2 linked regions of the Lytechinus pictus genome follow. Each later gene encodes a partner of the first gene's protein in a complex. Links are inferred from orthologs where the notes say so. Each region holds a gene or a part of one and is shown on either strand. Other genes may lie near its edges. The genes, in order: histone deacetylase 3-like and G protein pathway suppressor 2-like.

Region 1 (16,547 bases):
TAAAGAAGGAATAAAGAAGGAACAAAAATAAAGAAAGAAGGAAATGAAAAAAAAAAGAAATGAAGGAAAGAAATGAAGCAATACAGAAAGAAAGAACAAATCTAGTAAGTAGTAAAGGAAAGAAAGAAGAAGCAATAAAAAAGAAAGGAAAAAAGGAGAGATGGAAAGGACAAAAGAAAGAATGAGAGGAAGGAAGGATTGAAAGGAATTAAGGAAGGAATAAAGGAAAGGTAAAATGATAGATAGAAGTAAATAAATAAAGGAAGGGAAGGAAAGAAAGAAGCAAGCAATATAAAAAAAGAAAAGGTAAAAGAATAGATGAAGGAAGAAAAAAAGAAAGACTGAGAGACAAAGAAAGGAAGGAATGAAAGAATAAAGGAGAGAAAGGAAGCAAGCAGTAAAAAAAGGTAGGTGAAAGGATAGATTTAACAAAGGGAAAAAGGAAAGAACAAGACAGATAGAAGAAGAATGAATGTAAGAAAGAGAGAAAGGGCTGGAAGAAGGAAGAAATAAAAAACAAGAAAGGGTAAATAAATGATGGATGGAAGGAAGAAAGAAACAAAGAGAGTAACAAAGAATGAAGGAGAGAAAAGGGTAAAAATAAGGAAGGAAAGAAAGGAATGAGAGAAGAGATGAATATAGGATGGATGGACTCAAGAATTAAAGAAAAAAAAATATCAAAAAGAAAGAAAGGAAGGAAGAAAGGAAGAAAGAAAGAACGAAAGAGAGAAAGGAAGGGAGGGAGGGAGGGAGGGAGGGAGGGAGGGAGGGAGGGAGGGAGGGAGGGAGGGAGGGAGGGAGGGAGGGAGGGAGGGAGGGAGGGAGGGAGGGAGGGAGGGAGGGAGGGAGGGAGGGAGGGAGGGAGGGAGGGAGGGAGGGAGGGAGGGAGGGAGGGAGGGAGGGAGGGAGGGAGGGAGGGAGGGAGGGAGGGAGGGAGGGAGGGAGGGAGGGAGGGAGGGAGGGAGGGAGGGAGGGAGGGAGGGAGGGAGGGAGGGAGGGAGGGAGGGAGGGAGGGAGGGAGGGAGGGAGGGAGGGAGGGAGGGAGGGAGGGAGGGAGGGAGGGAGGGAGGGAGGGAGGGAGGGAGGGAGGAAGGAAGGAAGGAAGGAAGGAAGGAAGGAAGGAAGAAAGAAAGAAAGAAAGAAAGAAAGAAAGAAAGAAAGAAAGAAAGAAAGAAAGAAAGAAAGAAAGAAAGAAAGAAAGAAAGAAAAAGAAAGAAAGAAAGAAAGAGAAAAAAGAAATAGAGAAAAATATTTTTTTAAAGGAAAGAAAGAATGAAAGAACAAATTAAAGAAAAAAGGAAATTAAAAAAAGAAAGACAGTAACAAAAAAATGAAAGAAGAGAGGGAAGAAACAAAGAAAGATTGAAAAGAAAGAAGGAAAGAAAGATAGGAAGAAAACAGAGGAAGAGAGCTAAAACTATCATCAAATAATTTATCAGTTTCTTTTTGGCTCAATTAAAATAGCTACGAAAGAAAGTCAGAAACCAAGTGTATCAACACACACATAAATGCATATGTGGGGCTATTATGTATTCAGACGCTATCACCCGAAACCCGATCTGTTTGAACCAAAACAGAAGTGAAAATTTCTCCTTTTACTGCTTACAAATGACAGAGTTACTCCAATTTTTAGGAAATATGGACATTATAAGAGCCTTTCATGAGTATGAACCGTGAATTTTGACAGTTCTTGTGAGATATTTCTGCCAGAGTTTAGCCAAGCTTCGTTCGCGCAGCCAGTAGAGAATTTACCACGTGGGTTGTGTAGCTGGCTACATGTACACTGTATGCTTCTCTAGTGTGTGTATTCTGTGTGTGAATGACAGAATTTACCGGGGGGAAATGGTTTGCAGTGAAATTTGACAATTTCTGGAAAAGTTATTGGCCCAACAATGGATTTTATTACTGGTCATGTCGGACCCTTAAATCTTGCTATTTTTGGAAAAATTACTGGCCCGACAATGATATTTTTTACTGGTCATGTCGGACCAGTAAATCTTCCTATTTCTGAAAATCTACTGGTCCGACAGCGATTTTTACCGGTCTGGGACCGTCGGACCGCCGCTAGTGTCGAGCCCTGAGTACACCTTACAAAAGGGATGGAGAGAAGACTTGACTAGGCACAACATCAGCTGTTCAAAAAAATCCTTGGTCTCCTTAGAACAGCAGCAGATGAAGTCATCTTTCTTCTCACTGGGCTCCTCCCTCTTAGTTCTCAAGTTGACCTTGAGAAGCTCCTCTTGATTGGACAAGCATTGTCATTTTTTAAAGCATTTTTAATTTTTTTTTTATTTCTCCTCGTACACAGACTGCTCACAAAGGTGCAGCCGCCATTAGGGGGTTTGCAATATAACCCCCCCCCCCCAGCGGGGATCTATTATTTTTTAGCAAATAAAAAACATTTAAACAAAAAGTACTGCACCTATAGCAAGATTATTATTCCGGTTTGGCCTGAAATGCACCAAAACGGAAAAAATAAACTTATAAGGGAAAAAACCAGTGACTTACTTCGGCTGTTGTCGCGCAACTCCCACTTAAATCCGAACTTAATACATAAACATATGGGCATTGAGTCCCTGTATAGATCAAGTTATAACTTTGAAGTTTCTAGCTTTGTGATGGTTATATTTAAAAACACAGAGCCACAAAAAATGACAAAGCAACCATCCTCCCATAATTTCTGAAGTACACCTTAGATTTAACATTATACCATATTCTATTCCTCCTATTAGATTAGAATTCTAAAGTAAATGAGAGGAAAAGAAAGAAAAGAAAAGAACAATCTTCTTCTTCTGCCTTTTCTTCTTCCAAGTTCCAGTCTGATACAGTCCGCCACTGGCGTATTATTGAACCTTGGAATGGATTGAGTTGGAAACTAACTTTAGTACCGTACTAGTAGTCTCTAACTTTGTTGTATGGTGGTGTGACCTTAATTCATGCATTACCTAATTTTGTGCACGGTAGAATCCCAATATCGAATCAAAATCTTGAAAAACTGATATCACCAACACTAAACAGATGCAAAATTACTTGGTATGGTACCGTAATTTTCTTGAAGGTAAGGTCTCAATTTGTGAAAATATTGGCAAAACATCTGCAAATTTTGTTACCATTTGCTTCCGCTCCGAGAAAATCCAAACTTCTCGACAAGCTTCCAGAAATCGCCAGTTTGCAAGCAGAGGTATCCAAACAAGTATAAAAAGTAAAATGATATACTTATAGTTATACCAACCGAATTTATAGCATTTTAACCTCCATCTAATACTATTACCTTTGTCTGCTTGATTTATTTTCGAAAGCTTTGCAAAACGATCGTGCGCAAATTAAGGTCACACTTTTTATGACACTTTGTTAGCCGAGCGCACACTACTAGTCGATCGTCATGGAATTTGAGATTGCGATACCGGCGAAACCCTGGCCTTGGCTTGGCCTACTTTATAATTCTGTCAAGCTAATTTGACTTTGGGATCTTGCCTTCCGTTTGGTATGTATGATTTTGATTAATTTTTATGTGAACTGTGTGTGAGAAAATTTGATTGAAAATCAACTTCATGATAATTTTTAAAATGTCCGCAAATTATGGTCGGTCACCCCATCATAATTTAACTTTATTTCTTAAACAATATAGGGCCTAGTCTGATTTCATTGAGATAGAACAAATGTTAAGTCTAACTCTAACTAAGTGAGACCACATGGCTTGCCTCCCATTAGAATAAAAGTACCCTGTTCAATTGTTGCGCAATTGCGCCTCTGCTCAAGTGCACGTGCATGATCAATATGTACCATCACGTAACATCAGATCTGCACCCCCGACGTTCCGGCAGCAAACTCCTGTCGCTCCCGCTGTGAACACTTACCCCGGGCACGACGTCAATGCTTTTGTACTTGACACTCTCGAGGAGACGTCGGAATTCAACTATAACTGGAACACACGTTATTTCTTGACTTGTTTTGCTATTTTCGATGCATTTTTCCGTTGACAATAGATCACTTGTTGTACCCTCAGCTGACTTAGTAATTGCTGGTCTGTTTTTACGTCGTTTAAATGTGAAGCTTGCAGTGCTTAGTCGCACCGAAATTGATCCCAAGGGCGCTGCCATCTTTATTTTCTAAACAGGCTCTACATGTAATATTCATTTATTATTTAAAAGTCTGGTTTGTAAAACCTAAAAAAAGGTGATATAATTGTAAAATTTTACTTAATCTTATTTGTATATTTACATGCAGATGGTAAGTCAGCAAATTAATTTTCAAAGTTTCATTAATTTTCCCAATGAATTCATACCAAGAACACAATTTAGTTGGAATGATTGAACTTCAATTGAGACTCCTATCGACTTATATTGTTCCACGATGTCGAGTAAAACAATAGCTTATTTCTACGATGCAGATGTCGGGAATTTTCACTATGGTTAGTCAAAGGTGGATGGATATGTATGATCTGTATCAGGAGCTTTCATGCAGTTAAAAAGAAGTTTTATTTATCATAACATTGTTTGGAGCTGGAGGCGGCCGCGGCGAAGTCATCCCCCATCTCGCGCACTCCATTCAATCACGAAACAAAGAACTGGCAGTGGCAACAGGCAATGAATGATTTTTGGGGGAGTGAACGTGTTGGAATGGATGGAAGGCCAGCCCAGGTCATGGCCGGGGGGTCACGGCAGCTGTTGCCAACATTTTTATTAAAAAGTCATAAATTGAGTCAAATGATAGAGCAAATGAGCCTGCGCTATATTCAATATTGGTCTGGGTGTGGGGGGGGGGGGTGGGTCAGGGTGGAGGCAAGTTGCGAACAAATTAGACAGCTGGCAGCCGTCTGTTTCGAGGAGTTTTTTAACATTTTTTTTTTTTTTTAATTTCTCCTCATACACAGACGGCTCGCTAGCGTGCAGCCACCATTAGGGGACTTGCAATGCAAAATCCCCCCGTCGGGGCTCTTCAATTTTTGTCTTTAATGAGTAAAAATTTTGAAAATTCACGCGACCAAAATGCAAATTGATATTCCCTCTTGGCATCAATTGCCAAAAAACGGAAAAAAATCAAGTTAAAAGGAACAAAAATAGTGACTTACCTCGGCTGTCGCGCAAATTCACTTCCCCGTTTTATCCGATCTTAAGTACATAAACATATGGCCATTGAGTCCCCTGTACAGATCGCGCTAGAACTTCAGTCTCTGTATTTGGTGAGTGAAGCCAACGGAGTTCAGCTGAACAACCAACATAACAGAGACCGAAGCTTTTGGTCTACGAACAAATAAGTCTTAAGCCTAAGCTCAGTCACTTACACACATGTGAGGTTAGTATGCTGTACTAACCTTGCACAATGTATGAGTTTTGACGATGGACATGTAATTTGTCCTCGTCTGTCACACGAATTTGGGTTGATAAACATGCCAAAATTTTCCCCAAAACAACACAAGTTTTAAAAGCAATAAGAACTAATATTCTTACTTTTCACCCAGTTTCACTTCTTTTCTACGCTTCTATCGGTCTCAAAATTGGTGATTTACATATTAATTCACTGCCGATTCCAAAGCATCGCAAACGCAAATTGCGCGGAAATCGAAGCTCAATTAATGAATATTCAACATGATAACATCGAGATCGTTTCGCATATGCATCAGATCAGGACGGGTTATGTGAGAATACTTCTTAGTTCGGGCTATCAATCTTGCAGCAGAGTTCTGTATTACTTCAGCCATGTTACAAAGCAAACTATTACAAAAATGCAAGTGACATGTCACGAGAGCCTGAACAAGTTTCTTTGTTGTTTTAGAGTCCAAACACAAACATATCTTTCCAAGTTTACTTTCCAGAGACAAATATGTCCAATGCCATATGCTGATCAAACAGAACACCCATATTTCTGGCCAAGACACTAGGAACAATAGAAACATCTTAATCAGGGGAAGTTGTAATCTTCTATGAAATCGAGATGCTATTTGTAAAACCTCTGTTTTCTCGTCATTTAGTTTGAGACCAGTTAGAATTGACCATTGCTTTATCTCTTTTACTTACTTTATCTCTTTTACTTTTACTTCTCAGGTCCTGGTCATCCCATGAAACCTCACAGATTAGCACTCACACACAATCTAGTACTCAACTATGGGCTCTACAAGAAAATGCAGGTAAGATCTCCCAACCAACTCATTTTAATGCCCTTGAAAATGCAAAATGATCTCTTATCAGTTGTAACTTAACCTTGTCATAGGGAGGATTTTAATGTTGTTGAGTTTTAATAGAATCAGAAATCTGTTTGACTTAGTCAAAATGTGTTAATAATGTTTTGATCTTGTCTGAAGAATTGATTCAGTGTAGGTGACGATTCAACTTACAGAAGGTTGACTATCACAGACTTAACTGCATTTTTTTGTTTGTTTCTGTTCTAGATTTACAGGCCATACAGGGCCACAGCTCACGACATGTGCAGATTCCATTCAGATGACTACATCGACTTTCTACAAAGAGTGACACCTCAGAACATCCAGAACTTCACCAAGAGTTTAAGTCATTTCAACGTCGGTGACGACTGTCCAGTGTTTCCAGGTCTCTTTGACTTCTGTTCAATGTACACTGGGGCATCGTTAGAAGCAGCAACCAAACTGAACAACAATGTGAGAATTTAAACATATTTTAGTATATAAATGAATACATGTTAGTATAGGAAAGTGATTTTTTTTTTTTGGGGGGGGGGATGGTTTTGCCTTTTGGTGTCCCATAAGAGAACAATATGTAATGTATATACAGTTTATGAAGCTTGTCAGCTAAGATAACTGTTTATTCTATGACAGTCCTGATTGTAACAGTTAGAGACCAATGCTTTCCAGCCAATCAAAATCAAGGATTTCACGGAAACTGTAGGCCTATAGAGATAGGATGTTGACAACTCTCTGACTTCTCCACCAGTGTACTTCTCATTTTTATTGAGACTATTATGTCAGACTGTACTATATATTTATCTCATAATTTTCAGGAATGATACCAATATTAAAAATGTTGTGATTTTGAGCAACATGTTTTGAAATAGATTTTGGAAGAATCATGCTGGGGCCAATTTGTGAAATCTCTATGTTATCTTTTCATCCCTCTTCATGTACAATATCTTTTTTTATATCACTGATTTAATTTTTATGTTTTTATAGTGGGAATAAATCTGAATTGTATTGAATGGAATTGAACTGTAAATTGTTAGAAAATTTGTTTCCATTGCAGCTATGTGACATTGCAGTAAACTGGGCTGGTGGGCTTCATCATGCAAAGAAGTTTGAGGCTTCCGGGTTCTGCTATGTCAATGATATTGTCATTGCTATTCTAGAAATTCTCAAGTAAGCCATGTTTCTATTTGATTTACGATCTTGAAAATAATCTTGTTCATAGGTTTTGTATCTTTGCTTAACATTTTTGAAGTATTGTTATCTTAGTAATATTGTCAGATTCAGAATTTCCTATATAATTAAAGTTATACATTTAGCTTAAGACATAGCAGTGCTAGCATGCCCTTTTCCCCAATCTGCTGTATAACAGGTTGTACAGTGTATCTTATTATTTTCTCAGCTTTATATGGTGAATCATGAAGAAAATTGCCTTTTTGTTAATACCGTTTTATATTTGCTGATATGATAAAGATGAACAAACAATGTAATTTCATTTAAGCTAGATGAACTACATCATAATTCTTTCAAATTAAATCTTTTCTGTCATTTTTCAATTCCTTTTTCACATAACTTAATCATCATTGTGCACATTATTTCATGAGATTCCCCATTCTTGTTCCCTTCTCTGCTAGATACCATCCTAGAGTGCTGTACATTGATATAGACATCCATCATGGAGATGGTGTTCAGGAAGCATTCTACCTCACAGACAGGGTCATGACAGTATCATTCCATAAATATGGCAATCACTTCTTTCCAGGCACAGGTAATGGGCCTGTTTCATAAAGAGTTACAACTTTGGTAACTTTGCCATTATGGCAACTACAGTGGTAACAGGGCTCAGTAGCCAATCACAATCAAGGCTTTTATGTGAGTTACAATAATAGTACAGTCACCATAGTTGTAAGTATTTGTGAAACAGGGCTAATGTGTAGGTAAAAGGCGTGTAATAATGAGTATACTTATTATTGTAAATCGATAATCAATAAATGGGGTATATTCATTTTTTATTTCATTCAATTCCCAACTCTGAATTTTCTTTCCCATCAATTGATATGTATGATGTAGATTCCATCAAGTGGTGTTAGACCAAGTGGATATTGAACAAAATGGGTAGAGCCTAACTGGAAATAAGACAAAATGCTAAATGGGAATAATGATAATTAGACCAAATGGTTAGTAGACAAACTGGTTGTAGTAAAAAAAACTGGTTGTAGGTTAAGTAGGATTAGACCATCTGGGGTGAGACCAAACGCAAAGTAGCGCAGCGGTTTTGTAGACCAATCAGCAGTTTACTGTTTATTTCTTTTCTTCCAGGTGACATGTATGAGGTAGGCTTAGAGAACGGGCGTTACTACTCCATCAACGTGCCTCTCAAGGATGGCATAGACGATCTCATGTACTCCGGTCTCTTTAAACCAGTTATACAGAGTGTCATGGAGTTCTATAGACCTACGTGTATAGTCTTGCAGGCAAGTCTCTCAAATTCACTTTCAAAGTGTAGATCTTTTTATTCTTATGCATAAAAAACCCTCAATAAATACACATCAAGCTATGCTGCCAACTGTGAAAAAAAAATCATTATTTGTTATGAAACTGTGACAGGAATGAAAATAGAAATAATAAAAGGAAAAAAGAGGGGTGAAAGAATTACTTGCGAAGGAATATGCATGATATTGTATCCAAACATTTACACATTAAAAGATAAATACCAGTTGTGGTAATGATCTCAAAATGAGTTCGAAGAGAATCCAATAAAATGATCACCCAAGTCTATGTATGTATAGATAAAAATATGTGATAAATGGCTCTGGAAAAAAAGTGCAATTGTTGAGAAATGAGCAAAATATTCCCAGAATTCCATAAAATGTTGGGTATTTTTCCAAGCAATATTAATACACTGTCCCACCTACTCCCTTTTGTGTTAGTTATCATTAGAATTATCGGTTTTCAGCTAAGATTTCATGATTTCACAAAGATAAGTTGATTTCAATGTAACAGATCTAGATCTATGATAATATGGTGGTAATTTATCTTGATTTTAAAGGCTTTCTCATGAAATAATTGTTTGCTGCAAGTACTTTATTTTACCTTTAAACAATGTAGAATCTAGTATACATGAATTTAGTAATAGAAGTGACTAGATTGTAGAGGAAAGTACTTGTGCATTTTTGTTGCATGAGGATGGTTAGGGTAAGGGTTAGAAATCAAAGAAATTGTATAAAAAAATTAAAACAAAAAATGTCTGCAAAAAAATGCAAATTCTGATGAAGAAATACCAATTTTGGAGGTACAGAATGAATATTGGCTATTTTGAAGGATGGCAGCTCTTTATATGTGTATTCATTTACATTCCATCTGACAAAGAAGTTAAGAATCTAAAGGCCACTGCACATCTTATGACCCGACTGGTCTACGACTGGCCTGTGACTGAGTGAGGGGAGATGTGACGTCACAGCTCTTGTCAGCTTGAGAGTCGCAGACCAGTCAGAGACAAGTCGCAAGGAAAATTGTAAGGATTTGACATGTCGAATCCTTATGACTGAATCGCAAGCTCAATCCAACTTCCAGCCAATTAGACAGCAGAGTTGCACGACGCGTATATGATATACATCGCGCATATGCTGTAGTAATTAAGCGCCATTTTCTCAGTTGCTATGGCAAAAAGCAAAAAGCGCATGCGTGAGTCACAGACAGCATGGTATTTGGATCGCAAGGTGTGCGGTGTTGAGGCCTATGACTACCTTGCGATTCATCTCTACTAACTCATTCGCAAGCCAGTCGTAGACCAGTTGGGTCGTAAGGTGTGCGGTGGCCTTAAAGCACCAACTGACTCCCACTTGTTAATCTCATTTCTAAGATGAATCTTTGTTTTAATCTCGACAGTGTGGAGCAGACTCTTTAGGCTGTGACAGATTAGGGTGCTTCAGTCTCAGTATCAAAGGCCATGGGGAATGTGTAGAGTACGTCAAACAATTTAATGTACCCCTACTAGTGATGGGTGGGGGCGGTTACACAGTCAGGAATGTAGCAAGGTGTTGGTGAGTATTGATGTCTATCTTTTGAGTAAGCAGGTTCCTAATTATTATTATTTATTTATTTATTCATGCATGTCCACAATGTATAATGTAAAAGAATACACAGATAATATATAAGTATATATAAAACACAAGTAAATAATGAACATACAAGGGTGTTGCAACATAAGCTAAAAGCTTGATTGGTTGAAGCACCTTTAAACTGGTTTTGCATCCTAGAAAACAAAATAAAAATGTAAGAATAAGGAAGAGAGGAAAGAAAGAGAAGAATATAAAAGTGATAGACTGCCAAGATATAACAATTAAGTTTCAAGTTGTTATGAATATATGTAATAGTGATTCAACAATGTTAACTTCTCAATCTTCAGTTATGGAGAAAAGAAAGAAAGAAAACAAAATTACTTACATGTATACGTTACTAGCACTTTACAGATCCTGTAATTTTGGAAGGAGATTGTGCTTTACAGCCAATTTAAAAGAATGTGAGGTTTTCAAATTTCGAATATTATGTGGAAGAGAATTCCAAACATCTGATCCACGGTGTCTGATTGATTTATGAGCTAATGCGGTGCGGGGATTAACCAAATGTATGTTCGATGACTGTCTTGTGCTATATGAATGGACAGTGCTGTTCCTAAGGTTCCTGATATGTCTTCATAGTTTTTTATATTTTTTGTTTTCAAAGATTTTGATGTCGTTCAGTATTATTATCTATGATATATACTACTTTATTGTACTGCGTGTAAGGGAACTAATTCAACAGGGCCACATTGCCTTATTTTTTTAAGTTTCCATTTTTTTTTCATTTTCAACTGATAAATTGGTATGTTTGAACCATCTATGTCTTAATTGAAAGGCATTGTAGGGAAATTCTGTGGTTTTTTAGATGTATTTTATTTATATCAATATGTATATGATTGCATGTATTTTATGGATATTGTAATGACCTGTTTTTTATGTGAATATGAAAATGAACGATCAAACAAACAATTATATTTCAAAGCATTGTGATTTATTGTATATATTGAAGTTTTCACTGTGGGGTTTTCTGTATTGTCAAGAAGTGAGAAAGCAAATAAAGAAAGAAAAAAAATGTATCCAGTAAATCCAGTCAACCCTGTATCTTATAGTCCAGTTACTCTTTTATATATATTTTGAATATCAGTCCCACAAGTAATATATTTCTTTTGTAGAAGTGTATTTTGAAGAAAGGAAATAGAAAATTTGACATTTTTTCACCTTTTATTTATATAATAGGTTAAGTGTTAATTTTGTTAAATTGTGATTTTTACAGGACATATGAAACATCGTTATTACTCAATGATGATATCAGCAATGAGCTTCCTTACAATGGTAAGTAAAGTGATTGCATTATCGGCAATTACATTAAATAATCAACTTTTATCTTTTAGTCTCCCCCACCCCACACACACACTTGTCCCTTTTATCAATTTTTGAATTTTACTTCATAAACTGTTCAAGCCATAATTTTAGAGCTTTACAATATTTTGTACGAACTAGGAAACACGCAGATCATTTCAGAAAGGCCGTACACGCAGGTAATGATAGTTAAACATATTTATTTCCTGGAATTGACCTTATGATTCTAAGAAAAACAAACTGCTACATGTAGCTGAAAATTGTGAAAATAATATTGCTACATAGAACTGGCAAGTACATGTATATTCAAATGTTACATAATTATGATATTGTATTCAGGGTATAAATGCATAAATTTGATGTTTATTGTATAAGGCCTTATGATATTTTCAAAGCTTTGATACAGAATATCATTTGTGATTATCTAAATGATGGCCTTAAAGATAAATGAAAGTAGTTGCAGTAAACACTGATTTCACGAGAAAGTCTGTAAAACCAGGCTTAATCGTCACTCTATCATCGAGGATCTAGATCTGGTACAGTTACATAAACTCAACTTTGTGAAATCTTGAAATCTGCGCTGAAAAATGTTCACACCGAAGATCACCAACACAGATAAGCGCACGTGGGACAGTGTATTATTTTTGCTTTGAATGTCGGCCCGACGCTTGACCCGAATCCCGTGCTTATTTGCTAATTTCTCAGCAATTACACAATTTCTTCCAAAATCCTTTGGCACATATTATTTATTTATACAAACAGACACTTTGGTGGTCATTTCATTGGATTCTGTACGAACTCATTTTGAAATCGTTACCACAACTGGCATTTATCTTTAACAGAAGTGGTTGAAACCATAATGGGTGTTGGGGAGCGGAAGGTTAATCCCCCATCTAGGTTTTGAGTGCGCATTACCCATGTCCATGCCTATGATAAATTGATTAGATTCATTGTTGATGCAAGCTGTTAGATAATAAAGAAGGGGAAATAAAACTAGGAGGGTGGGGATTAATCCTCCTTTATGCATTGGGCCTACATCTATATGTCTTGTTTTCTTTTTTCTTTTAAGTTACTCCAAAATTAATTCTGTGCGGGATCAATCTTAAAAGAAAATAGGAGGGAAATTAAATCAGGAAATGGTATAACAAACCACTGTGGGAAATTGAGGTCTATATATGTGTATGTCTTTTATTTTGTTTGAAATTATTCATCATTATTTCTATTATTTATGATAATTAACTTTAGGGATAACATTTATGTTATTGTGCATGAAGTATAGAGTAGAAGTATGGCTACACTATATGGCTAATTTGGAAAAGTGCCAAACGCTGATACTTGGAAGGGGAATAATTGATATTGAAGAACTTCTGAAGTCTGAATGAATTGATAAATGAATGACTAAATATCCAATCTTGATCCTTAATGATCGATTAATTTCATTTTCTTTAGATTACTTTGAGTACTTTGCTCCAGATTTCACATTGCATCCAGACACCACAACTAGAATAGAAAATCTCAACACCAAAGCAGTAAGTCTTGTGTTACTTTTCACAGAATTGTTGCTGATTTTTCTTTTGTAGTTCCTCTTCTCTTCTGTCAATTCGCACTATACATGTATTGTTGAGGTCGCAATCAAACAGTACACAACATTTGCTGCAGTTGGAGAACAATACAAACGAAGCAAATGATTGTAAATAATGACTAAGAAGTGAAACTCGTTAGCTTTTGAATATATACAAATCTTCACTTCCTATAGTTCTTCGGGATATCATGCAATTTTATTTGTATTGAGTGCTGACTTTGGTTCAGTATAAAAACTCATTGGATGTGTGAATTCGGACAGAATTGAATTAAAGAAATGCAGTCCAGTTTGTTTTCCTTATCATTCCTCATTTTGTTAATTGTGTGATTTCAGTGGCATTTTTTTTAATGATGCAGTGTGTCAGTGTAGATTAAGTTATGAAAGATGAGAGTGCTTATTTTGGTATTGAATCGCCAGCTGATAAAGCAATTTGTACAACGCCTACTTAGCTTGTTGTACGCAAGCAAATGGGAGATTGAATGTCAAACATTCGTACTGTTGCACACACGACGTACCATTCAAAATGTACCGTTGCACGGCTTTAGGAGGTGACGTCACAATATGATTTTATTCATTGCGCTCAGTAAAAATGAAGGTGCAATACGCATATAGCCTGCTGGCTAAATGCGCAATGCTGCCCAAGGTCATGTGGGCTTTTGCTTTTCGCTTTCAATATTTTTGCTCCCTTTTCATAGATTACTGCAGGGAAAAACTCTCATTTTTTTCTTCATATTTTCACAAGATTCCGAGGCGTTGTACAACACAAATAGCGAAGATTCATATTCGTGCAATGGTGCGAGATTTCGCATTCGATGAAAAAAAGAAACACTCTATTCAACTCGGCTAACGCCTCGTTGAATAGAGCATCTTTCTTTCACCTCATGCGAAATCTCGCACTCATGCCTATTCGCTATTTGTATATTATTGTCCCTTATGAATAATCATCAATATTCACTTTTCAAATTTGCTTCCATCTTATACAAGCAAATGGACAATGTACATTCAAAGTCGTTAGGTTAGAAAATTTTGACTCTATTGACTATGTTGTTGGTCGAATTGAGGATGCCAGGGTTTCACAGCCTGCTGACATTTTGAGCTGGGTCTGATATTGGGAAAATGTCAAGACCCCTGTTTGTTAAAATATGAGAGATGATGTGTAATTTTATCCATTGAAGCGTTGACACAATATTTCACATCTGTATCGTGATTGCCAGGTCATATAAGGGTCATTCCATGCCAATTCACCCAATGAATGTGCAATTTTGCACCCGACCCTCTTGGAATTCGTTGTAAATTGGTACACATAAAATTCACCATGGCCCACGCACAAAACAAAAAAAATAAGTCCAATTGGTCCGTCGGTTCTCGCGCTTCGGCCCGCCCTTTTCTCCTTGTTTTGACAAAAATGGGCGTGACCTTCAACTTTCAATGGCCACTGCGTCGTAACGTGTTGACCAATTTTCATGAAACTGGTACCATTTATTAGGAAATTCAGAGAGGAATCCAAAACATGCATCAAATAATGTATTGGAGCGATTTATGAGGTCGTTAACTTTGACCTTGAGTTTGACCCCCGGACAAATAATTTTTTAACTTGATTTTCGTGTATGGTAATTATTAGTATGATATTGACAAAATTTGTTAAAATCAATGATGATATTTTATTTCTTCACCTTTTAAAACTCTTCCAAAGATACCATGAAATTTCACTCTAGTCCTACATACTGATATTCATGTTAGTAAAGTGTTTACCAGTTACATGATTTCTTCCAATCTTAAGTTTCAGTATGCGTGCACATGAAAAGAAATTAAGCTCATCAGTTCACAAATGAAACATTAAACATTTATGCTCATAAATAGGTATCTGTTTAGGCATTTTGATGTTCAGCAATATATATTATATATATATATATATTCTTGTTAGTAAATAGGCATATACTCAACAATTTGATGATAAAAGTAAACACTTTACTAACAAGAATATATATATATATATATGATATATATTTCTGAACATCAAAATGCCTAAACAGATACCTATTCATGAGCATAAATGTTTAATGTTTCATTTGTGAACTGATGAGCTTAATTTTTTTTCATGTGTTTGCATACTGTAACTTAAGATTGGAAGTAATCATGTAACTGGTAAACACTTTTACTAACATGAATATTAAACTCAAGGTCAAACTCAAGGTCAAAGTAAAGGTCAAAGGTCACAACCTTATAAATCGCTCCAATACATTATTTGATGCATGTTTTGGATTCCTCTCTGAATTTCCTAATAAATGGTACCAGTTTCATGAAAATTGGTCAACACATCACGACGCAGTGGCCATTGAAAGTTGAAGGTCACGCCCATTTTTGTCAAAACAAGGAGAAAAGGGCGGGCCGTAGCGCGAGAACCGACGGACCAATTGGACTTATTTTTTTTGTTTTTTACGTGGGCCATGGTAAATTTTATGTGTACCAAATTACAACGAATTCTGAGACGGTCGGGTGCAACCACTGGGTGAATCCAGATGGAATGACCCATAACAAGAATTTCTCTGACGTTGTTTTCCCACAGTACATTGACCAGGTGAGGCAACAAGTGCAGGACAATCTTAAGTGTATAGCTCACGCACCTAGTGTACAGATGCAGGATGTTCCTCCAGATCTTCTCAGTCTAGAGAATATTGAAGAACAAGACCCTGATGTTAGGAACAGTACCAAGGAACAAGATGAGAGGTATGACCTATTGATAAGCAGGGACCTGGGAAGCGGGGGTGCTGGGGGTGCTGCGTGTATTATTTTCCACAGGCAGCACCCCCACGAAAACATGTTCCCTTTGTATTTTTTTTATATATGTTATGTAATGTACATAATTATCACATCTGACAATCGCAAATCATTTATAGTCTTTCACATATTCCAATAATATAACGCGACTCGATCAAGCTCCGGCACTCCGATACAGGCGTGGTCGCGCGCGATACGTGATAACCATAGTTTACACACTACTCGATAGCAGGGAGGTACATGGGTGTGGTTGGACTTGAAACTTCCAGGTTTTATGTCGAATCAAGACAGTGTGCGCGCGCCCGAATTACAAGTCAGACAATAGAAATCAAATTTCACGGTCTTTTTCGCCCTGCCCCATGGCCCTGGGAAGCGGGAGTTGCTGCATGTGTTATTTTCCATAGGCAGCACCTCCTGGAAATCTAGTGGTAAGTTGATAAATGACAGAAATGTAATGAAAATGAACGATGTTTTGTAGACCCCCCCCCCCCCACTTCAGAATTTTCTGATGCAGTACTTAAAATAGTGTTTAAATCCACCCTTTTTCATTATTGATTTTTATAATTAAAAAATGTATTTACAATGCCCAGATAGGTCTAACTCTAAACACGCGCAC
Region 2 (16,209 bases), on another chromosome or scaffold:
GAAAGGGAAAATAGGAAAAAGAGGGAGGATGTATCGTAAACTTACAAAGTTAGATGCATCCATGATGCCATCTTCCACTGGCAGGGTGCAGTCGATAGTGAACTTCAAAGTCTGCTTCTTCTTCTTGCCCTTTCCGGTGGGGCGGCCACCCTTCTGAGCTGTTTTCTGTAAAATGGAAGAAAAGACGTGAAGAAAATCAGCATTTAGATAGCCGTGAAGAAGAAATTTTAAAAGCTAGAATTTTACATTTCAATTAAAATTTATATATTAGGCCAAGCCTTTTTTTGGGATCAACTGTCAGATTTAACAGAAACAAAAAGACAATTCATGGCCATTTCCAGCAATTTTGTTAAGCAGACAAACCTGACTGTATTGGTAGGGTGTCTGGAGAAAAAAATTATTTTTTTTATTTCAAGAAAATATCACATTTTCTTTGTGAATTTGAAGAGAAATTACCTTCAGACTGACAGAAATGTAACATTTTTGAAAAAGTCCAATTATTGGCTGCAAAAAAGATGAAATTAGGTCAATTTTCGGCATTTCTCTGCCATAGACTGTGTAGTTAAGAAATGGACACACACAAATCCAAATTTTTAGCTTCCGAGAGCTGTTATAAATTTATTATTAATGCCCAAAACTTGTCCATAAAGAGTCCAATAGGATTTTTTATGCTCTATCTGATGGTATGATTTTTATAAAGATTTGGAAACCAGATCACAATGAAAAATTGCAACAAAGTGAAAAAAATTGTGCAAAACAGAAATTTCATTTTCCCATAGAAAACGCATGGAGAAATGGCAATCTCAACACACACAAAAATAAGGGTTTGCAATTTATCTCTAAATCCTTATTTAAAATGATCATATAAACTTGTCCTTACTGTCAAAAGAAGCCCCTGAATTTTCTCTTTCCATACATGCCAAACACAAGTTAATAATCAATTCAGATCATATTTTTCTAGTAGCCTGAACTTCCCCGAAAAAATGTGCCATATTTTCCCCTAAATCAGCCTGTTTTATGCCGACACTTTTTAGTGTGGCTTCAGACACCCTAGTATTGGTCTCCCTGCATTCACCCTTAACTTGGGTCTAACATTAATGTTAGTCTAGGGCCTAGCTAAGTAAGGGGTCTAATGTTAGTTTTCAAGACAATAAAATTAAAATTGAATGTCAGTCCAACATTCAGAATTCTGGCTTTGTGCTATTTTAAGAAACAAAAAATTCAGCAATAAATGTGGTTTCCTTTTCAATCTTTTCCATATAGGGCCTACTGTCAGGCCCAGGGGCTTGCTCAAAAGACAAAATATGGCAAGTTCCCCCAAGTCTGCCCAGTCCCCCTTATCTGAGCACACGCGCGATTCTAGTAAAAGATACGCAGCCAACGAACACAGACTTTACACATGCAATACGTTAACAGATATCCATTTAAAAATCTTACTCAAAATGGTGGGAAGTTAAATAATGAATTTAGCCTTGGCTTTAGGGCATTGCATGTGACCTCAAATTGCTGCCCTTCTCGTCAAAATCCCTGAATCGTGTGCAAAGTTAATGGGTGCGCAGACACATTTCAATCTGAAAATGACTGCCCAAGGTTTTTTCCAAAAAATTCCTATATTTCTTTCAAATTTTTATGAGGTATTTGCATATATTTGGTTAGACCAAAAGCTTCAGTCTCTGTATTTTGGTTGTTCCGCTGAACTACGTTGGCTCCACTCACCATACATAGACTGAAGGGGATGGGGCCCCGTACCTACAGCCAACGTATAGTGAACTAGCGTTTTATAGATCGCGATTTAAAACTGTTTTTTAAGCAAAATTGAAAGTTTCATGGTTTCCATTATCAGGGAAATATAAATAACTTAAGTAATTGCATACCTTGGGCCGGAGTTATTGAAAAAAATCCTCTGGATGATTGAGAAATCTGTCATCTAAGACATTTTCACCTGACCTGACGGTTTTTCTTGCAAGTTGCCATCTTGAATGACGTCATTATCGTTATTAACTTAATGTCCCGAATCGATATATCGCGATTATAACTAGTACTAGTACTAGTATAACTAGTATCGTTTATCTTCGGTTTCGTTCGCATATGGAGCAGATCGTATAATATCGAAAGCAATATCGATATCACATTCGTGATTGTTGACGTTCGTTTGTAAATATTTTATAATTTGGCTGCCATTTTGACCATTTTTATCGTGTTCAACCCAATTAAACATCGGTAAAGTATATTTTTCATGCCTTTTTCATCTATATCGTTTAAAGTATTTAAACATAGAAATATCAAGTTTTAAAAGTTTGTTGTTTAGGCCTATACATCCTTAGATTGTAAATTCGATGTGTAAAATTACATCAAACTTTGGACTGTGAATTGACAAAAGGGAGGGAATGAGAACACATGCGAGCCTACACGTACACCCTACCGTCGGTAAATGGGGATTACAGTAAAATGTCAGAAATTGTTGAATAAATCCCCAGAAACGGTTATTCCTGTCTAATATTTGGTACACTTAATATAAGGAACATAACTGAAAGATTCTATTAAATAGAAAAAAATTCATCTTAAATCTTAACTAAAATTGTTAGGTGTGCAGACTTTGGGACCAACATCATAGTCATACAACACAAGCTCCAATCATTTCACGACATGATGATCATGTCATCCGATCAACTGGCACATGCATACACTACACTCAGGCCCGCCACAGGCACACACAGCTAGCGCGCACTTTCCACTCACGGTACACGTCTCCCACGCATTAATACATGCCGCAACACATTACACGCACGAATCATTCTGCGGCTCATTTATCAGGAGTCACCTGGTTATATTCATCATTATATTACTCTTGTTCAACAGTAGATAACAAATATGAGGGAATCATTCTTCTTATATACTCTTAACAAAATAAATTTCATTACTTTTTAATCATAATTTTCATCATTAAAGCCCAATTTAAGCGTTTTTGACGCCCTTACTACTTACACCAGGCATGGTTTGTAGCAATGCAATTAAAAGAGGCCGATTTGGCAATAAAGATTTTGATTTAAGGTTATCATTTTGTTAGAGTAAGAATACAACAGCTAAATAATTTGTGTAATATATGTAATAATATTTTTATGTAATAAAAATAATTTGAATAAATTCAAAAATACTTTTAAAATGTAAGATTCAAAATAATAAAAAATAAAATAAATTGAATGAAAGTAAAGAATTGAAGGTAGCTCCCTCCTTGCTCGTCCGGAACCGTTTATTGCGTGGCCAATCTACTAATCTTTAGTTTTGTTTGCAGATCCTCCTCCTAAATATTCTTTTGTGTATAGAGAGAATTCCCCGAAAATTCTCAGTACAGCTAACTTTTGTTAGATCGATCAGAGTACTTTATACACTGAGCTCGTGTCCATTATCCAAACCATCACCATCAGGGACATATCAATCTGGGAGAGATCAGTGGATCTCCCCCAGTGAAAATATTCAGGGCAACAAAGTTTAAAGGGCTGGTCCAGGCTGGAAATATTTATATTTCAATAAATAGAGTAAAATTCACAGAGCAAAACGCTGAAATGATTTGATCAAAATCGGATAACAAAGTTATTGAATTTTGCATTATTCCTGTGAATCGTGTTCTACTGTTCTAGGCATGCCCTTATGCTGAATATTCATTAGGTGGGCTGATGATGTCATATTCCCCACTTGTTCTTTATTTGTATTTTACTATATAAAATTAGGTTTATTCAAAAATTTTCTACCAAGAACTAAGACAACTGATTAAGTGCATTAGTTATTTATTGCCGCAACTCTTATTTCATTATAATGGAGAAACATCATTTACACATGACAAAATGAAACATTTATGATTTGCTATCATTGGCGGCGGAAGCCAAAAAATTTATTGGGGGCCCACCTGAAATTTTGTGATGGACACAGGTAAAATAATTGACAAGCAAAAAAAAGTTATCAACCTAAATTTTAGGGGGGGGGGGTCACCAAAAAAAATTTGACAAGCAAAAAAAAAAAAAAACTAAACTAAAAATTTAGGGGGGCCACCCCCCGCCTCAAATTCTCAAATTTAGGGGGGACAGGTCCACCACCCCGTCCCCCCGCTTCCGCCGCCTATGCATGTTGTATCATAAGAAAAAGGAAAGTGGAGATGTGACATCAACAAATTTTCAAAAAATTGAAAAATTTATGATATGCAATTTATCTTTATAGTAAGTATTAAAAAGCCCTTTATGAAACCACTAAATTTTATACTATCAAACATACAAAATTGTCATTTTCAGCGCGTTTTGCGCATAAAATTCTGAACTATGAAAAAAATATTTAAAAAATGATTTTTTTTTCCACTTTTGCCCACAGGTCAATGGTTTTATTTCGAGATTCCTAGGATTGTTCTGGCATCAATAGGTAGTCTGCAGGCAGAGACCCTTATCACAAAAAAGACTAGCACATACATTGGGCCTAGGGCGTTGTAGGCTGCACATTCAGACCCTTTATGCTCGAGCGAAGGGTTTGCACAGCAGACTATAATAGGTATGCATTATATGCCTAACATAATTATTTTCACTCGTTTCGTCTGCTCACTTGTGAAATCCACATTTTGAAGCAGTTCCCTCTTTTTAACTCTGTGCTAAACTATGGGGAGCCAAAAAGTCAAGAATTCTGCTTATATTTCTAATATTTACGATTTTGTTTCCCTTAATGTTTCATAATTATGAAACTAAATATATTTCAGTTATCATTCTGAAACAGTTATACATGATTTTTTAGCGTCATAAGAGTTAATGAATAATTGAACATTCTAATAGAGATTTGTGCCGCAATTTGCTCTCCATTAAACTATTACTCAGTTAATGAAACCAGGGTTTATGATAAACCCGTGTTCAGATCAATATGGGCCACTGATTCCACGTATGATCACGTGACATTCTGTTCAATGTAATGATTAGCCCACTAGCTCACTGCAACCATCCTGCCTGTGAGGAATCTAAACCAGGGTTTATGATAAACCCGAGTTCAGAATCTGGGCCACTGATTCCACGTATGATCATTAATGAGGTCACGTGACATTCTCTTCAATGTCATGATTACCCCTCAATCGGGGTCGAAACAAGAAATGGGATGATCAGAAATAAAACAACATTTTATTCATATTGCTCCACTGGCCGTTCAGAAACGGAGATAATTACTTTGGAAGACAAACAAAATGCCAAAATCATTATATTCGACAGAAAGAGAGATCGAAAATTTATGTTTAAGATGTCTATGGATTAACAGTCGATCTCTTAATTGCACGCTGCGCTATCTTGTATTAGAATGTAATGCATTAAAATGTTTTGAAGGCAAACAATTCAACAAACAAGGTGCAAATTTTTGTTATAATTATAGGCTACTGAAATATTTTTACAGCAACCGCTATAACTTTGACCTATTGACTTGCCGGAATCATAAATATTCTTTAAAAAGAGAGGTATTCGGCAAAAATAGTTAAAGGACAAGTCCACCCAAACAAAAAGTTGATTTGAATAAAAAGAGAAAAATCCAACAAGTATAACACTGAAAATTTCATCAAAATCTGATGTAAAACAAGAAAGTTATGACATTTTAAAGTTTCTCTTAGTTTCACAAAATAGTTATATGCACATTCTGGTCAGTATGCAAATGAGGAGACCGATGGCGTCATTCACTCACTATCTCTTTTGTATTTTATTATATGAAAAATGAAATATTCTAATTTTCTCCTCATTGTCAGGTGAAACAACGATTACTTCCTCCCAAACATGTGGAATTAGCATTGTTTAATATATGCAGTGGCGTAGCTACGGGGGGGGGGGCCTGGGGGGTCCTGAGATTTGGTGTGCCCCCCTGAAAAAATTGCCGGAGCAAAGAAAAAAAAGGAGAAAGAAGAAAAGAAAAAGAAGGGGAAAGACAGAAGGAAAAATGAAGAGGAAAATAGAAGAGGAAGACGAATGAATAAAATAATGTGATGGGAAGACTTGCACAAAAATATTTCATGTTACAATATAAAAATTTCGCTCGCGCTTCGCGCTCGAATTACCTGTTCGATGAGATTCATTACTTGCGCAATATAGGCTGATATGGAGCTTAACATAACAAGTTTTGAAGTCAATATACAAAACATATTTTAGCTCGAGCTTTCATTTTTTTTTCATTTACAAATTTAAGTGCTCTGTAAAATGTCCGTTTTATGGTCTACATATCAATATTTTAAGCTCGCGCTGCGTGGTTGCATGATTTTTCAATTGTCTTCGTGTGTCCAATAAAGTTATAAAAATATCAATTTTCAGATGTGATTGTCAAGCGTTGGTCTACAAATTAGCGCGCTCGCATTTAGATTTGTGAGTATATACTCTATATCAATTCTATAACCGAACAAGCTCCCTTTTCATTATCTTTTATTTTAAAAATTCAGCTCGCGATTTGCGCTCGCATTAATTGTTATTAATTCCTTGTATTCATAATTACAAAATACTTAAAATTTCAATTTTTCAAGCCTTATAAACAACGAATTCCACGCTGTCATTAACGCATATTAGATTAACAAATAAGAAAATAACATTATCATGAATTCCTAATAACTAAATTGGGTCTTTTCAGAATGGAATATCGACAAGCTTAGGAATAATTTTCATATGATGACAAAATGTCCTTAGAATGTCCCGGTCCTTTGTTATAATAATAACAAAAAAACATCAGCTCGCGTTTCGCTCTTGCATCATTCATTAAGTGTGTTCCATATCCACTTCACAATTTTCCTACACAGTGCTTGAAATAGTGTTTAAATTGACCTTTTTCAGATCGGAATATTAAAATGTTTTCAGCTCGCGCTTGCATTATTGATCTTCATGAATCATGATTAAAAAATGTATTCAGAATGCCCAGATTCTAGGTCTAAATCTAAAACATGCACACGCATGTTTATTGAGATAGCCTGCATGTTCTTTATTTAAAATGTGCTTAAATTATCCAGTTCCAGAATATCAATAATTGTCTGCTTGCGCTTCACGCTCGCTTTATTGATGATACCCAATTAGCCATATCCTATTCATGATTTACACAATATGAATAGAGTGTCCCGCTTTTAGGTCTAAAATATCAATTTTCTTCCGCTCGCGCTTCGCGCTCGCATCAATTGTTAGTTACATACCTATCCCATTTATGATTACAAAAGTTCTTAGAATGACTATTTTTTAGGTCGGCATGTCAAGAATTTTTAGCTCGCGCCTCGCGCTCCCAATATTGGCATATGTACCGTCTTCGTGGGTAACGAACAGGTCCCTTTTCGATCATATGCTAAAACATTTGTTAAACATTCCTGCTCGCGCTTGGCATTCGCAGTAATTATCTTCACGCACTGTAGTTACATACATCTTGTTCACGATCACAAACATTGCCCAGAATGTTAAAATTTCCAGGACAAAATACATGAAAATAAACAAAAATTGCTCGCGCTTCGCGCTCGCACTTTTTATGTAGGGCAAATTAGATTATTTTATATTTATGTTGTTTTGTAAGAATAAAGCTAAGAAGTGACTGATCGGAGAAAAGAAAGGTGAAGATGATTTCGTGCCCCATATCCCCTATTGGCGAGAATCGGATCCGCCCTTGTGACACACACACACAGAAAAATGGTGCCCCCCTGAAAAAGCAAGGACCCCCAGTGCCCCCCAGGAAAAAATCCTAGCTACGCCACTGAATATATGGTTCGGTCAAGTTGGTCCTTATTGTCAAATTTGTAAAAAAATGAAATATTGTATAATTCAAACAACAAACAACAAAAGAAATAGTGAGTGAGGGACATCATCGACTGTTTCATGTCACTGAGTTGTGCATATCACTAGCTGTTTGATGATCATAAGTGAAATTTTAAAACGCCATAACTTTATTATTTTACATCCGATTTTGATGAAATTTTCAGCATTATGCTACATTGATTTCTGCGTTTCTGCTGTACCTTAAAGTCACTTTTATTTTCTTGAAAACCACTTAGACAGGATAGAAGAGCCTTTTCTCTATCAACTACATAGGGAAAAGTCCTGGCACATCAAAGCCTACCCTCCTTTTCCGTAGTGCCTATATTTATATGTAATTGGAAAATTCACCATTTTGAAGCCCCCATTGAAGCAAATTGGCGTTTCTGCTGTATCATAAAGTCACTTTTACTTTCTTGAAACCACTTGGACAGGATAGAAGAGCCTTTTCTCTATCAACTACATAGGGAAAAGTCCTGGCACATCAAAGCCTATTTACCCTCTTGCATGGGCTCTTGAAGTTATCCCACCCCTTTTTCCGTACTTTGCCTATTTACATATATTGGAAAATTCACCATTTTGAAGTCCCCATTGAAGTAAAAAGGCGTTTCTTATATTTTCTTGAAGCCACCTGGACAGGATAGAGGAGCTTTTCTTATCGCCGGTCATATCGCAAAATATTTTGATATCCATATCCCCCCCCCCCCTATATAACAGATACAGGTTCTTGGAATGCTTGGAAATAGATCGGGTTTTCGGTAATGCAAAGTAAATAACGCTCCTGGCTTCTTTACTGTTATCTTAACAGTCAGTTCATCTGTATCGTAAAAAATGCACATAAAAAGAAGAAATTCTGGATGAAAAAGTGGGAAAAGAAAAAGATTGGGACAAAACGCCGGCACGATGCCACGCTGACTATAACGATGTTGAAAGTTGAATGTAGAGGTGAGGGGAAAAGACATATAACTCCTCTTGTTCCTGATTAAGATAATAAAGCACAAGTTAGACTGAATCGTTTCTTTTGATTTGATTAATTTTTCAAAGTTAGATTTTCTCGAAAAAAATATTTTGGCACATTACTTACACTGGTCGTTACGATTTTGACATTCTTCGAATTGGCATTCCTGCGTCGTTAATTCCGGTAATTCCTGATCGAGATCCTGCATGCCAGCTTCATTCGTTGGTATTATATTTGTGTAGGCAGGCCGCCCACGTACTGCAACTGTGTGTACCGGTACTGTAGTTTTGATTTCCTGTAGGCCCTATGTAGTAAGTTGGCACTTTGTTTCTTTTCTTCTTCTTCTTGCTATTCTTAAACATCTTATTCTTAATGTTGTCGCTTTAGATTCCGTGAGCGATTTGATTACTTTACACCGGCGTGGTACCGGTACCGGCGTTACTTTAGTTTAGTAGTAATGACATGTATGATTCTATGAATAATTGATTGAATGATGCAAAATTGGGTCTGCTTCCAATCTAACCCAGTCCCAGGGAGCCCAGGAGCTTACCGTGTATTTGACCATAGTCACCGGACTAGGGTGATTTATGGTCTAAATATTTCTCCAAATGAATTGTAAAAACAGAAAGTATACAACTACCACGATTATATGGATGAAGGTCTAACGAGTGCAGTGGCAGTTTCCTGACATCTGGCATGTCTGGGCACAGACTGGAACCTCAAAAAAACGAAAAGTTCTCTCCTACCCCCGTCTCGATCGGCCATTTTTGTTAAAAATCGTAACAAAATGGCCGATCGAGACTGGGTAGAAGGAGAGAACTTTTCGTTTATGGGAGATTTTATATCAAAACTTGAAAATATTTTAAAATAGGCTCTTATGCTAGCCTAGACAGCTGGCAGCCGTCTGTTTCTTACTTAAGTTATGGATACTTATGGATGCTTCTGAACGCAGTCTAAGACTCTATATTCAGTTCCAAATTCTGTCTCCTCTTTAGGTTGGCCGGATCATGTCCTGGTGGGTCAGCGTCAAACTTGTACTTCACAGGTTCACATTTCCAATACTTATCCAGTTTCGAGGAGTTTTTTAACTTTTTTTTATTTTTTTAATTTCTCCTTGTACACAGACGGCTCGCTAGCGTGCAGCCACCATTAGGGGACTTGCAATGCAAAATCCCCCCGTCGGGGCTCTTCAATTTTTGTCTTTAATGAATAAAAATTTTGAAAATTAACGCGACCAAAATGCAAATTAATATTCCCTCTTGGCATTTGCCAAAAAACGGAGAAAAATCAAGTTAAAAGGAACAAAAACAGTGACTTACCTCGGCTGTCGCGCAAATTCACTTCCCCGTTTTATCCGATCTTAAGTACATAAACATATGGCCATTGAGTCCCCTGTACAGATCGCGCTAGAACTTCGGTCTCTGTATTTGGTGAGTGAAGCCAACGGAGTTCAGCTGAACAACCAACATAACAGAGACCGAAGCTTTTGGTCTAATGCTAGCCTAGGTATGGTAGTGGATCGTATTACCGAACACTTTTCATGAATTCAATCATATCAAACACATTATTTTCATGAAATTCACCAAACTTTCACCATAAATACACAATTACCTACAAAATATCAATATGTAAAAATTTTGCCGAAATCGTTTTTCCTTTTTACGATATTAGCTTCCAATCGGACCCCTCTTCGCATGTGAAATATTTGGGTCACTTGAAAAAGGTATCGTATTACCGAACGTGTGTTATCTATGGGAAAAGTTGAGAAAACAACAAAATCACTGATGAGCTATTTTGACCATATTTTATTATTTTAAGAATATTAAGACTTTGAAAATGGGTTTTTTACAATTTTTCATCATCTTTCTATTCAAGTTCTCTTTGGAAGGATGTTGCAAAATTTTGAGCGTAATATTATTTTCTGATGCGTATGATGCGCGCGTTCCGTAATACAAGGCCGGTCGGCAGGGTTGGCACGTTTTAAACGGTGTGTTTTAAAACATGTTTTAAAACGCGTTTTAAAACACCCGTTTTTTTTACAAAAAAAACGTGTTTTAAAACACCTCATAGACTTGTGTGTTATAAATATGCATGGATGTGATTTTACATGAATATATTTTTTATACTTTTTTTCTTAAGTGGTATATTATTTTCTTCTAACTAAATCTCTTTCTCACCACCACTCTTTTTCTCCTCTCTCTTTCCCCCCTTATTCTCCCCTTTTCCATTGCTTTGTCATGTTCCTTTTCTCCTGTTCAATTATGTAGATCAATCTATATATTCTCATTTTAACAAGCATTTGAGTGTTGTGCTCACTTTTAGACAGGGAAAGAAACACTATTTAAACTAAGCTCAAATATGTAATAGTAGTACTTGAATGAAATGGAAGTGTTGCACAAGCACAATAATATTTTGCAAATAGACTGTATAACTGACATTGTAACCTTGAGGTACACACGAAAGTAGGTGAAACTTTGCGCTTTGTAAAGATGAAGAAAAGTAGTTTAATTCAGAATAAGATAATCAGCTAGCAAACCTTAAAGGACAAGTCCACCCCAAGAAAAAGGTATTATGCTGAAAATTTCATCAAAATCGGATGTAAAATAATAAAGTGATGACATTTTAAAGTTTCGCTTAATTTCGCAAAACAGTTATATGCGCATACTGGTTGGTATGCAAATGAGGGGACTGATGACATCACTCACTATTTATTTTGTACGTCGTTATTTTCTCATTGTCATGTGAAATATATTTTTTTTTCCTCCCTGAACATGAGTGGAACTACCATTGTTTTAACATTTTTTGGTTCAGTTAAGTTGGTCATTATTATCAAATCTGTATAAATTGAAATATTTTATTGTTCAAACAATTAAAAAAACAAAAGAAATAGTGAGTGAGGGACATCATCAACTCCCTCATTTGCACATCACTGAGTTGTTATAAATGTTTTGTGAAAAATAAGCGAAACTTTAAAATGTCATAACTTTCTTATTTTACATCCGATTTCGATGAAATTTTCAGCATTATGCTTGTTTGAATTTTCTCTACTGATTCAAATCAGCATTTTTCTGGGGTGGATTTGACCTTTAACCCTAACAATCCCAGGGGACTGTAATGGCCCCCTTAAAAATGTCTATGATAAATCCATAAGAACAGCAGGGCCACGCCATATTGTTCAAGACTATTTTTTGGATACATGCATGGATATGCGGTTATGATATTACCATGGAGCTATCAACACATTGATAGCTCCATGATATTACACAAGTAAAGCCAATGCAAATTTTTCGCCAACATTTTATCTGTATCAATATTTGTACTTTTTGTTAATGATTGGAAAATTATTGCCAATAATTTCCATTAAAAAACGATAAAAAAACCCAAAAGTAACCACAAAACTGTACATAAGAAATTTAAAAAAAAACAGTTAAAACAAACATTGAAAAAAACAATTTGATTAAAATTCCTCAATTAAAGAAATAAGCAGTTCAAGGGCCTAATATTTATAGATTTAAACCCAAACTTATATTTCATGCACTTGTGGGTACCCGGTAGGATGTGAAAGTCATTGTAGCTTGTCCAGTACTGTGTGCGCCTCACTAGCGACTGACTGAAATACTACCCAGGGAGTTGAGGATGTGCATACATTGTGTGCGGGAATGACTGATTGATTCCGATGACTGCGTTAATAATATATCTGTAAAGCGCTTAGACACGTCGTTCCAATGTATTAAGCGCTATATAAAAGCGGACTATTATTATCATTATTATTACTTAAAATTTGTATAATTGATACAAATGAAATAAAGCATATTGAGTAAATGAAATTAAGCTTTGAAAGCCTATAGTCTATAGATTATGTTGTTTTCTTACATAGTGCAACTTCTTCTTACCCCTATAGATTGATAAGACTAAAAAAAACCTGAGACTACATGTATGAGGAATAAACTTATAAAATGTCAACTTAATTTTTTGGCATTCAATTTCCTTGATTTAGTAATTTTGGGAAAAATATGAACTTTTCTGTTGAAAATTCAGTAACAAAAATTGTAGTCATCTCTTAATACTCCAAAAATGTAATTAAAACATCAAGAGCTTAAATCATATTGTATTAAGTGTATAATTTAATTGATTTACAGGAAAATTACATCGTTCGTTGGAAAAAAAACGTTTTAAAACGATTTAAAACGTTTTAAAACAATAAAAAACGTTTTATTTGTTTTTTTTTTATAAAAAACGTTTTTTATTACAACCCTGCCGGTCGGTAATACAATCACTCACTATATTTGTCACAAAGTTCACTTTCTTCTACAATCATTTATCATGACTTATCACAAAGCTGAATATATAAAATACCGGTATTTGAATTATCTTTCTCTCAGAATTGATAAAAACTTAAAGGGAAAGTTCAGCCTGACAAAAAGTTTATTGTAAAAATAGCAGAATAAATAATAAAACAATATTGGTGGAGGTTTAAATAAAATCGAAGATTTCCAAAGTTATTACTTATTAGAATATTATTTTTTTATTTGTGACATCATATGCGAGCAGCTTACTATGTATCGTGAATTACAAAAATCAATGAAATTTTATTTCCTCAGAAAATGAAAATGAGTTTTATTGTACCTTCATCATTATCAACAGACAAATTATTTCACATACACTTTTAAAAGAAGAAAATTTGTAGTCATCATGAACCATTGAAATTTATGCAGTTTATGAATATTGTAGCTGCTCGTATGACATCACAAATCAAAAGCTTCAAATTCAAATAACTTTCATAATATTTGACAGATTTTCCTGAAACTTTCACCAATATCTTGTTATTATATCTTCTTGAATTTTTGCAGCAAACTATTGGTCAGGGTGTTCTACCCTTCTGTTATGCTAGATTTTTCCACAATCACTCCCTTCTACAGTAATTTATAATATTGAAAAGGTGTTGTGGTTCAGTGGATAAGTCTCCACACATTGAACCACAATGTCTGGGGTTTGAATCTCACTGTAGCACTGGCGTCCAGTGGCAAGGCATTTTTAGATTGACACTCTCCACCCAGATGTAGTACATGGGTACCCAGTAGGAAGAAATTCCTTTAATGCTTGAGCGCCCCTGCCCCATGGTAATAGTATGCAGCACTTAGAAACATATTAAGCACTGCACTATATAAATGTTGCATTTAATTATTATTTGTCTCAGATTGTTGCCACCCTTGACCTTTGACCTGGCGAACAACCATAACAAAAGCACCATGCCTGCTCTGTTGGAGAGACCCAAACTCAGCAAGGCTATGGCTGCAGCCCTCCGGGTGCACGTCGTCAAAGAGAGAGACAGAAAACGCCAAGGTGAGTCCATAAACCCACAACCCACCCTTTTTTTTTCTGGGCATTATGCACCAAAGCTATAAAAATAGAGAACACACTTGATGAGTAATGTAAATTTCTGACATGTCTCTTTATTGGATGTAAATAACAAACATGTGGGCACGTCGTGGTCTAGTGGTTCTGACTCTCGCCTTTCAAACAGAGGGTTGTGGGTTCGAATCCTAGCCATGGTGTGTTTTCTTCAGCAAGAAATTTATCCACACTGCTGCAATCGACCCAGGTGAGGTGAATGGGTACCCAGCAGGATTAATTCCTTGCATGCACTGAGCTCCGGTGATGGTAGCTCGAGCTAAAGCCGAGGTAATATTTGCAAGCGCTTTGTATCCTCGGGCAAAAAGCTCATATATATCCAGCTATAATTATTATTGTTGTTGTTGTTATTATCATTATTAGTGTTATCATTATTATTATTATCATTACTATTATTATTCATTATTGTGATACAGGGCTTAAATTGATCCGTGACTGTCTAAAGCCATGACCTTGGATGCCCTATCGATTGATCTCTATGCCTATCTTATTGATCTTGGTCTTATTTGTGCTCTTTTGAAGTATTCCATTTGTATTGAGATGTAGAAAGGTGCCCTATAAAAGGGGCCCTGCCCTAAAGATATATAGACATTTAATGCCTGGGGGTTTTTCACAAAGATTTAAGTATGACATAGAGTCGCACTTAAATGCCTCGCTGTGTGTGGTATAAAAGGCATGACCGCATTGGTCAGATCATGCTAGGAAGCGAACTACTGCGTATTGATCAATAAGATTGCACATTGCATATCTTGTACGCCTCGGCATTTAAGTGCTACCTACGTGTAAGTCATACTTAAAATCTTTGTGAAACACCCCCCTGGAATGACACCAAGTACAAGAGTATTTTCCGAATGGATTATTTTCTCTTCAATGCATGACTGACAAATATCACATTTCTTTTGAATTTGATCAGTTGGTTAGGTATTTATGAGAAGTGATTTGAACTGAACAATGTTTTCTTTTTCAATTTCAGAGGAAGAAGAAGCAGACAAGGCGATAGAAAGAAAGAAACAAGAACAAGAGAGATTAAGGAAGAAACAAGAAGCTGAGACATTGTCATTGGAAGAGACAAAGGAACAGGTACATGATCATAGGATTACAATTTCATGAAATAAATGTTTGTTTTTTTCCAATGAGAGGGGATCGTAAATATTTGTAAAGGTCAGGAAAATTTGGAAAAGTCTGGTAATTTGTCAGCTTTTTGTGAAAACTCATGAAAAATCTTTTACTTGATATACATGTATTCCTCGGTATGGAAAAAAATGTTGTTAGCACTAACAATGCACTAACAGAGGACCTGTTACAACCGTCAATGTGGCACAGATGCCTCATGTTACAACAATGCATTACTTACACATTGAAATAATGTTTTGACTTCACAATCTAAAAGATGTGACTGGGCTTACTGTTTGCGCCCTGTTAGGCTAACAATGTTTTTGTGCGGCCGACACTGGTGAATTGTTGTGTATTTCTGTGTTTGTACCATACACTGTTAAAAGTGCACAGCAGGGAAAAAAAATTACACAGGGTTCTAGCTGATTTGCCCTAAAAGTGCTCAAAAAAATTATGGGAAATATATTTTAAAAAGAGCCTTGGAAAATACCCATTCACTTTTGCAGTAGGTTGTGAAAAGAAGCCCTAGAAAATTAAAAAATATATATAATTATTTATATATGTGTATATATATATATAATTATATATTTTTCTCCCTGTTGCACAGGGTAGCATATTTTCTCCAGGGCCAGATGTGCATGCATGATCCTTGATGGATCCACAATACCCTAGCAATAATAGATATTCTTCAGGGATATCTAACATCAGGTGACTGAAATTTGGTACTTATGTTATATGTAAGTAGTTACTGACCTGTTACATGGAATTTATTTCATTTTCAGGTGAAGAATTTGGAGGAGAAATTGAAAACTCTCCATCAAGAAAAGCATGAGCTCTTTGGACAACTCAAGAAAGTCTTGAATGAAGATGAAAACAGGAGAAGACAACAAGAAAGCAAGAAGAAGTTAGTTAAAAATCTCTCTGATTTTCTGGTGACTGACTGTTGGCTTGAAA

Evidence for each region.
Region 2: histone deacetylase 3-like (region 1) and G protein pathway suppressor 2-like share a complex: the UniProt entries of both Homo sapiens proteins name them as parts of the N-Cor repressor complex. The link is inferred for Lytechinus pictus from reciprocal best matches to the Homo sapiens genes HDAC3 and GPS2.

Annotation. Positions count from the first base shown.
Region 1 is NC_087255.1:32,548,927-32,565,473, reverse strand, and holds the start of histone deacetylase 3-like, read left to right. Parts: upstream 1-4,275; 5' UTR 4,276-4,353; coding exon 4,354-4,411; intron 4,412-6,044; coding exon 6,045-6,127; intron 6,128-6,388; coding exon 6,389-6,613; intron 6,614-7,211; coding exon 7,212-7,324; intron 7,325-7,785; coding exon 7,786-7,919; intron 7,920-8,470; coding exon 8,471-8,625; intron 8,626-10,039; coding exon 10,040-10,194; intron 10,195-11,485; coding exon 11,486-11,544; intron 11,545-13,020; coding exon 13,021-13,100; intron 13,101-15,719; coding exon 15,720-15,880; intron 15,881-16,547. Other genes in the region: uncharacterized protein LOC129271199, read right to left, coding at 3,858-4,100. UniProt on the Homo sapiens protein: Histone deacetylase that catalyzes the deacetylation of lysine residues on the N-terminal part of the core histones (H2A, H2B, H3 and H4), and some other non-histone substrates.
Region 2 is NC_087258.1:9,338,489-9,354,697, reverse strand, and holds the start of G protein pathway suppressor 2-like, read left to right. Parts: upstream 1-8,957; 5' UTR 8,958-9,041; intron 9,042-13,927; 5' UTR 13,928-13,979; coding exon 13,980-14,073; intron 14,074-15,115; coding exon 15,116-15,222; intron 15,223-16,037; coding exon 16,038-16,159; intron 16,160-16,209. Other genes in the region: large ribosomal subunit protein eL22, read right to left, coding at 46-165, 2,986-2,994. UniProt on the Homo sapiens protein: Key regulator of inflammation, lipid metabolism and mitochondrion homeostasis that acts by inhibiting the activity of the ubiquitin-conjugating enzyme UBE2N/Ubc13, thereby inhibiting 'Lys-63'-linked ubiquitination.